Linked DNA regions of Neurospora crassa OR74A. The protein of the gene in region 2 binds, or shares a complex with, the protein of the main gene of each other region. Links are inferred from orthologs where the notes say so. Each region holds a gene or a part of one and is shown on either strand. Other genes may lie near its edges.

Region 1 (4,611 bases), on a different chromosome or scaffold from region 2:
ACGTGATGGCATCTCTCCTCCATGGAGTTCTCTCCAACAACCCAAACAAACGAAAACCATTGACACCAGTGAGCCCCGCGCGGGAACACCTGTACAAAAGCGTAGAATCCAGGGATACGACGATCGATCATCAATCAGCTAAAGCATACCTTACCTCTTCAAGACTCCCCTCCTCAATCTCGTTCAACATCCGCGCCCCAACGACCGAAGCGACAGCAGCCCTCTGCATCGCGGATTCGCGGGTTTCTCTTCCTCAAGAACTGTTTTCCGAGTCGCGTCGCATCGTCCAAACCTCAAGTAGTACCCCTCCTTCCACGACACCACAGACAAACAGACAAAATGACGCCGCCGTGTCAAAGCTTCAAAGCAAAGGCTTTGCCCACCCACATACAAGTCGGCCCCGATCAGCGTGTTCGCAAGACGGAAGACGGTGGTCGACGACGAATCGATCTACTTCGGGATTGCGAGCTCTTTGGTCTGTTGCAGTATGACTGCCAGGTGCGCGACCCGGAGTTGAGGGAGAGCCAGATTGAGTGTTGGCCAGTGCAGCGCTTGTTTCGCAGGTATGTCTTTTTTAGGAAGGGGAAATTCCCTTTGTCGCATTTTTAGAAGAAAAGGGGAAAAAGAAAAAGGGAAAAGGAAACGTTGACATTGACATTGACGTGGGGAACCAAACCATCTAGATGCCGGGACAAAAATGGGCCTTTTACGGTCGAGACAACGGCTTGGGAGGGCACCGCGGCTGCGGCTGCGGCAGCAACGACATCATCATCGTCATCGTTAGCAGCAGCAGCAGCAGCAGCCAAAGCGACATCGGCCAGCAACAAAAGCTCATTGGCCGAGCAGGAGCAGCACCAGCAGATCGATCATCGCACATGGGGCAGAGAGGACGACAAGGAGGATAGATGGTGGAACAGAAAGTGATGTTTTTATTCTGATACCCATCTTTTTACAATTTCTTGGTCTTGTGTCCAACGAGGAGGATCCCGTTCTTAATCTCTAGTTGCTTTGCATTGCATCGTCCCGTCGTGTCCCGTCTATGAAATACCCGGCCACCATCTGGCCTTTATAAATGGTCTATCACAAGGCAGAAGAGAAAGTAAGGAATACGTATCGGTCGGGCTGACTCGATTGCCGATGTTTGTCTATCCGTCTTCATCTGTAGATATACAACATGCAAGTCTTCCTTCTTCCTTCTTCTTCTTCCCCCTCCTCAGGTATCGCTCCAAGTATTGCGTTACTTCTTCATCTCCGCGATCGATCGAGGTCGTCTCCGTTCTTCATCATCGGTCGCCCAGTCCGTAGATCGATTTAGGCGCCCATGCGGGCAGCACGCTCCTCCTCGAGCTTCTTGTAGTAGTTGTCACGAGCGTTGGTGCGGGGCATGTGGTAGCCGTACCTGCGGGTGATGGAAGGGGTTAGTCATCGCGGAGTCAAGGCACGGGAGATTTGTTTGCGAGTTCGTCTTCGGTTCGGGTCGCGTGCAAACTAAAGTCAAGGATTCATCGAGGATATGTCGTACCAGTAGCCGTTGGCCATAACGAAGCCGACACCTGAAAGAGTAAGAAAACAAAGGGTCAGCTGATCGGGAACTTGTGATAAAGAAAGGTAAAGAACAACGAAGGAGGTGGCTTCCGGGAAGTCGGTATGGCGGGGTGACAGCACGAGAGACCGTGGGCAATCCTAGGTAACTGGCGCGCGTAGCCAATTCACGGCCCACCGGCCGGCCGAAGCTCGACCTAGCTCTTGCTCTGTCTTCCACATCGCCGTGTCCCGCCTCCCGTCTTCGCCTTATTTCAGAGACCACCTCTTTTATCATTCAGAAATTCCAAACTCACCGAGGGCAATGCCAATGTCGAGGATGAGGCCCCGGCGGAGCATCTGTAAACCCAACAGTCAGCCCCTAGTCCTCCTGTATTCCAGTCCAGCTTGTCCCGAGCGCTGGTGGCATTGCGCAATTCCGTCATCCATCGTCGCGAACAGCCATTGAATCGTCCTCTTTGCGCAGGCTTCGGAAATCACGTACACCGGTGATGGGTCTGACAGCGGTGGCGGCCATTTTGACGAAGAGGGCTGGTTTCGGTTGAGTGGTTGCGAAAAAAAAGGGCGGATCGTAGCGAAGGGTGCGCGGTTTGACGGCTTGGAACTCTCTTCTCTCAAAATGGAGCTTCAAGATTGTCCCGAATGGATGACCTGAGGTTTCGCTGCACGGGAGCTGCAAGCTTCATATCACGTGATGACGCAGCTGCTGAACGGAAGCTTGCGAGCGCCGGCAACTGCGGGTTTTCGGCAAATCTTGGATCACGGACCGTTCCCTTCATACTTGGTGTGATGGGTAAGTTTAATTAAGTGGGGTAGGTACTAAACGCATAGTGTCCGTGCAAAAAAGTACCTGACAGGGGGGTTTTTACTTTCGCTCGCGACCACAGTATGTGGTGGGCTTACGTAAGGCTGGGGAGCGGCAGCACTGCGTTGAACTTATCGATAAGGTGGCAGCCTTTCCAGTCGCGATGACGTCCATCGTTTCTCAACTTTATGGCAAGATGCACATTATTGTGCATGTCTTTCCAATACTACACGCTCTCTCCAGGTCTCAGAACCGTTGGATTATAAGGTTCAACCACAAAGCATCCTTCAAAATTGGTGTCCCTGCGCATCCTTACCTTCCGAGTCCGCTATGGATGATATTCCGACTGTGTACACGCCTGCTCATTTTGAGAGTTGGAGGTCGCTAGTATGGCCAACCATGAACGGGAAATGTATTCCGAAATAGTATCACCATGTGTCGGTGTTCATATCCAGGTTCTTCCAGCTTTCAAAGTCCATTTTCTTTCATCTGGTGTAGAGGCTGAACTCCTGAGACACCTGTACTCTTAAAGTTGCAACTGGCGGTGTTGCTCAGAAACAGATTTTTGTTGTCGATTGGATCGAAGGGATTCGAACCAGAGATCGAGGTGGTCAAACGAAGCGGACACCTACATGTACAGTTTGTTCGTAATCAAGACCGATAGATGAAATTTTTGGCGGACTGCGAGACACCTCAAAGCTGTATCGTCGTCAGGACTGTGGCGGCTTCGTAGTTGTTGTTTGGAGTCACCTGGTGAAACAGTCGTTGTAGACGTTGTCAGTCAAATTTGCAAATTCTCTTTGGTGATATTGTCTCGGGCAGGTGCTTCGAGACTCAAGTGACAGAATGTGAAGGATAGCAGAGCCTGAGAACTCGTAATCCGTCCCCGTCAGCTCGAGTATTTATCGTATTGTGTAGAATCAGGTTGGTTATTTCCCAAGCTCGCCGTTTTCTTCATGGTTATACTGATTATCAGTCCGATGCGTGGCCAGTCCGCCTGATGTTGTGGAGGTGCTTGCAAGACTTATATAAAGAGGACTGCAGGGTGGTATGTACCGTGGCACTTGGTTGTGGTCAGTGCATCACCCCGCAACGCAGTTTCCGGGTCTCTGATTTCTTGCAAGTTCATCCATTTCTTCGTCCTCTCAGAATTTAAAAATGACAACGACTCACAGAACCCATCGTTTTCCATGAGACCCAACGTCGAGCACCGATTTGATCTACGAGGGCATTGATCAAGATGGGGCAAACTGCTTCTCCTGTTTCTTTCTGTAACAGTTAATGTCTTGCCAGGTGCAAGCAGCCCCGTCAGCCACCAAAAGGAGCAAACACGTCAATGCACTCAATCAGGGCTCCGGGGGTAGAAGCGCCGTTGAAGACTCTGTGGCGTGCGGTGTAAAAAGCTACGGTCTTCTTGCGAACATCTTGTTCTGACCGTACATGAAATGAGGTGAAGATCATGGTCGTCGGGGCGTTGTTCTCCTTCGGGGCTCTCGGGGGCACTCGGTGCCTAGGTACGCGGCACGGAAGGGAAAGGGTTCGTCCCGGGGCAGCCCAGACCGACCTGAACCCTGGGCGTTACAGGCGTGTGATGACGGGCGCTCACGAGAAGTTGAGAACTGTGGGGGCGGGGATGAGGCTTTCCCCGCAACGGTCAAGCGCTGCTAATCATGAAACATGGCTACAGAAGAGCGTCCGGCCCCGCCGTTACATGTAGCGCTCTCCCGCTCTTGCCGCTCTCTGAAGCGCTGGGCTTGTGGGCTCTGTGAGGAAAATTGGCGTCGGACGGTGAACTACGGGACGGGAAAGCTTCTCGACGATCGCCAAGCTCAGGGAAGCAATTCGTCGCTTGCAGCCGCCAGTAATATCTTGTGCTGGAGGTCTTTCTGTAGCTAGCTCACTGCAGAACGCATCGTCACATACACTACAACTACTGTTGGATAGTAAAGAATAGCCGCAAACCAATTGACAGACAACCAGGGATTGTGTTGTTGAAGGTCAGATGATGTTGCAAAACTCATCCTTGCGTGGATCGTCTGGTACACATGTGGTGAAGGGAAGACTCTATCGGCATAAGTCGGAGAGGTATTAAATTGAAGAAAATTTAGTTCGGACTGTATCGACGAGTACACCAGATACCATGATGCGCATCCTGCACGACACTATTATTCCCATCGTGGAGGATGCGGAGCGACTGACGATCTGAATGGTTAGAGTACCACTTTCCGATCACTCCCATTCTCAGTTTCTCATCCCTGCAAAGG
Region 2 (4,115 bases):
TAAACCATTTTCAATATACTCAAATCTTTTAATCCCATCAATACTTTAAATCCTTTTCCTAAACTCATAAACTAAGAATTCCCTCTCTAAATAACGGCCTTGAAACCCTGTCATTGCCTTTAATCCAACTTTCTCATCAAACCCCAATTGACCCCTGGTTTTTCAAGACAATATACCTTTACTTTCATTCTTTTTAACTTCCAAGGCACTGTCATTTGAACTTAGTACCGCTCCAGTGCATGTATCCACCCCGGAGGGGTGGTTTACGTCTAAGACGCCTTGCGGCTCCAACATCAAACAATCTTTATTCAATGAGTCATTTTCGGGGGACCCCGCCCCCTTCGGGGGCGGGCCCATTATTTTATCCTCAACCGAAAGGATTAACTTTTTTCGCTACCCCCTCCAGCTTCGCTGGAGGGGGGGAAGAACGCGGAAACACCCACACCAGGAATCAACAAATTATTATACCCACTCCTGCAGTACTGCAGGGGTGTAGAAGGGTAACCACCCCCGATATGATAAAAGTATATAAAATACTTTTATCATATTTATTTATTTTTTTTACGATAAAAGTATAAAAATGTATAATTTTACCTTTTTTAACGGGGGCCTAGCCCCCCCCTTGAAGGGTACCCCACCGATATGATAAAAGTATATAAAATACTTTTATCATATTTATTTAGAACTACAAATATCTTTAACCCAAATAAAGCACCCCTCTCCTCCTGCAGTACTGCAGGGGCGGGGGGGGGTGCTTTCCAGTTAATGGGCCCCGCCCCCGAAGGGGGCGGGGTCCCCCGAAAATTAAGGGAAACCTTTCACCCGCCCTGCAGTACTGCAGGGGGGAGAAAATATTTAAATACCACCTTTCCCCTGCAGTACTGCAGGGGCTAGTAATGGATGACTACCATAAACTGAACCTAGAACTTAAATCTTTATTCGATGAAATCGATCTATTAAAAGGGTCCCCACAACGAAGTTGTGGGGTCCCCCGATTTAAGTTCGTAGGTTTATACACATGCTCCGCTGCCGGCCCCTCCCCTTCACCACCCTGCAGTACTGCAGGGGGATTAGAGTTATACCCTTACTAGATATACATAAACTTATTAATTACCTAATCGGGGGCTAGCCCCCGGTTCAGTCTTGGTAACTCTTTAAAAGGTTTTTGGATTTAAGCAAGGTTCCTTCCGCTAGGCTACGCCAGACTTCAGGAACTTGCTTGTTATTTTAACCCTTCCCCGCCCTGCAGTACTGCAGGGGGGGGGGCGGGTAGCCTTTTAAACCTAATTAACCTATAAAAATAATAATAATTAAAAGCACCCCCCTTAAGGGGGGGGTGCTTTCCAGTTAATGGGCCCCCCGCCCCCGAAGGGGGCGGGGTCCCCCGAATATTGTTTATAATATAACCCACCACCTCCCGGATGTTCCACTCCACTCGCTCCCCCCCGCAAACCTGCGGGGGGGGGAGCGAGTGGAGTTAATTCCGTTCCACTCCACTCCCCCCCTTAAGGGGGGGGGGAGTGGAGTTAATTCCATAAGTCATCCTCTTCATATTAGAAACTTTTTATCGCTACCCCCTCGCTCCCCCCCCGCAAACCTGCGGGGAGGGGGGGAGAGATAACCACTAGATGGCTTCATACTCAAATACATAGGGCCCCACGAATACCCCACACACCTTCGTGTGTGGGCCGTATTCGTGGGGTCCCCCGAGTTCCTTTATTTAGCCAAAAACTATTTTATCGTCTTACTGTTCTTCTAATCAAGTAAGGAATTTTTCTAGAGATACTGACTCTATAACTATAGGCATAGAACTGTGTAATATACCACAGATTTCAGAGCATTGACCATAGAATACTCCTTCTCTGTTAATAAAAACAGATACTTGATTTAATCTCCCAGGATAAGCATCACATTTAACACCTAAAGATGGAACAGCGAAGCTATGTATCACATCACCTGCAGTGATGATAAATCTAACGTGTGTTAGTTCAGGAAGGATAACTCTATTATCCACCTCTAACATTCTTAGTGCTCCTTCTTCCAAATCGGATTCCGGTACTATATATGAATCAAATTCTATAAATTCATCATTTGAATCTAAGAAATCAGGATATTGGTAACTTCAATATCATTGGTGCCCCTCTGCTAAAACTGACATTGAAGGATCACTAACTTCATCCATTAAATATAGCAACTTAAATGAAGGGAAAGCAATTAATATTAATATTACTGCTGGAGTAATAGTTCATATTAATTCGATTAATGTACCGTGATTTAAATATTTATGTGAAATTGGTGATTTTGTACTGATATAATTTCTTATTATAGATAATAAGATTCATCCTACACCAAATAGTATTACCACCAGATAGTACATAATATTGTCATGTAATTCAACTAAACCTTCCATCTGAGGAGTAGCACTATCTTGAAAATAGATACCTCATGGGCTTGGAGCATCAAAATTCATAATTAAATTATTAAATAATAATCCCATAAAAAAAGAAATAGAATATTCTATATTGAATATTAAACCATAATAATAAATATATTATATCTTTTCATAAAATATAGAATTTAAATATAACATTAAACTGTATTGTATATTAAGGCTAGGCTAATTCTTATCCACTAACGAAGTATACCCTGTGCCTAATGGGTTTTTATAGCCTGCTGCTCATAAGGTTAGGCTACGCTAGCGTCCTTTGTTTTTTCGGGGGACCCCGCCCCCTTCGGGGCGGGGGCCCAAAAAAATGAATTACCTTCGCTCAGCTTCGCACACTTCGCTCACTTCGCTCAGCTTCGCTCAGCTTCGCTCAGCTTCCCTCCCAAAAAAGTACCACCCTCCTCCACTCGCGTACCCCCTCCTTTGCTCAAGGTCCCCATCACATTTAATTATGCCCCCCTGCAGTATTGCAGGGCGGGGGAAAGATGGGGGCCGCCAAGGGGGGGGTTGAGTGGAGGAGGGTGGTCGCGATATTATGGCTAGCTAAATTATTAAGGCTGCTTCCTGCCTGCCTAGACTTCGTAGGCAGGAAGTAGGAGGGGGCCCCCCACGAATACCCCACACACCTTCGTGTGTGGGCCGTATTCGTGGGGTCCCTCGAAGCTAGCTAGCTAGCTAAGCAGGAAGAGCAGCCATATTTTTTATTTAAGCAGCCATACATCATTTTATTCCTAATCTCTATCATTACTATGCAACATAAAGAAGTAAAAAAGCCATCATCAAAGCAAATAATCCTGTCGCTTCCGAGAAAGCAAAACCTAAAATTGCATATGCAAATAATTGACTTTTTAACGAAGGGTTTCTTGAAACCCCTATTATTAATGAGCCAAATACAACTCCAATACCTATACCAGCTCCGATTAAACCTGTGGTAGCTAGCCCTGTTCCTATTATTTTAGCTACTTGTATCATTATATATACAATGGTGGAATCAAAAATTAACTAGAATCTAGTAACCTCTTCAATTCCACCACCGCAAAGCAGCAAATACCACTGAGGCTCCCGACAACAGTGTATTTACTGCTGTTGCAGTATATCTAATGATAATCAAGTAGCCATTAGGCTATCCCTAATGGCTACAATAATCATACGATAGCTAGCCAGTATATAACTGGCTAGCTATCGTAATCTTTAGTACATTACATATAAAGATTACATTACAATACATTACATTACATTACATGTAATGTAACATTACATTACAGTTACATTACTGTACATTATATTACATTACAGTTACATTATATTAAGTTACATTACAGTTACATTACAAAATATTACATTACAGTTACATAACATTAAGTTACATTAAGTTACATTACATTACATTAAGTTAAGTTACATTAAGTTACATTTTATATTATCTATCAGATGATTACATTTGCAGTACATAGTGGATATAACATTACATTACATTACATTACATCATTACATAGCATAATGTATCATCCATCATTCCCCTTACGTGATACGTACCAAATTAAATCACACATTAACATTATTAATGTTACATGGTGAAATAAATATTCATATTTATTTCATATTATTAAAGATAATCATTAAGTACGATTAGGATTAATCCTAATCCTAATCCGCACAGCTTAGCTCC

Evidence for each region.
Region 1: the proteins of NCU16028 (region 2) and NCU05816 are in contact, whole or in part, in a cryo-EM structure (PDB 7Z10), measured with the Saccharomyces cerevisiae proteins. The link is inferred for Neurospora crassa OR74A from reciprocal best matches to the Saccharomyces cerevisiae genes COX2 and COX9. Residues at the interface, in NP_009326.1 of Saccharomyces cerevisiae: Cys23, Tyr24, Ser28, Ala29, Thr30, Glu34, Leu37, Glu38, Asp41, Asn42, Met44, Phe45, Leu48, Val49, Gly52, Leu53, Trp56, Met57, Thr60, Tyr65, Phe88, Gln212, Arg213; in NP_010216.1 of Saccharomyces cerevisiae: Ile10, Arg13, Asp17, Ile18, Leu20, Gly21, Phe22, Leu24, Gly25, Gly26, Met28, Ala29, Ser30, Trp32, Trp33, Phe36, His37, Lys40, Arg44, Phe47, Tyr48, Leu51.

What each region holds. Positions count from the first base shown.
Region 1 is NC_026507.1:3,921,628-3,926,238, reverse strand, and holds NCU05816 (hypothetical protein), read right to left. Parts: upstream 2,301-4,611; 5' UTR 2,060-2,300; coding exon 2,027-2,059; intron 1,882-2,026; coding exon 1,839-1,881; intron 1,554-1,838; coding exon 1,523-1,553; intron 1,400-1,522; coding exon 1,312-1,399; 3' UTR 943-1,311; downstream 1-942. Other genes in the region: NCU05817 (hypothetical protein), read right to left, coding at 155-229; NCU17277 (hypothetical protein), read left to right, coding at 340-563, 684-924. UniProt on the Saccharomyces cerevisiae protein: Component of the cytochrome c oxidase, the last enzyme in the mitochondrial electron transport chain which drives oxidative phosphorylation.
Region 2 is NC_026614.1:57,911-62,025, reverse strand, and holds NCU16028 (cytochrome c oxidase subunit 2), read right to left. Parts: upstream 2,498-4,115; coding exon 1,745-2,497; downstream 1-1,744. Other genes in the region: NCU16027 (ATPase subunit 9), read right to left, coding at 3,194-3,418. UniProt on the Saccharomyces cerevisiae protein: Component of the cytochrome c oxidase, the last enzyme in the mitochondrial electron transport chain which drives oxidative phosphorylation.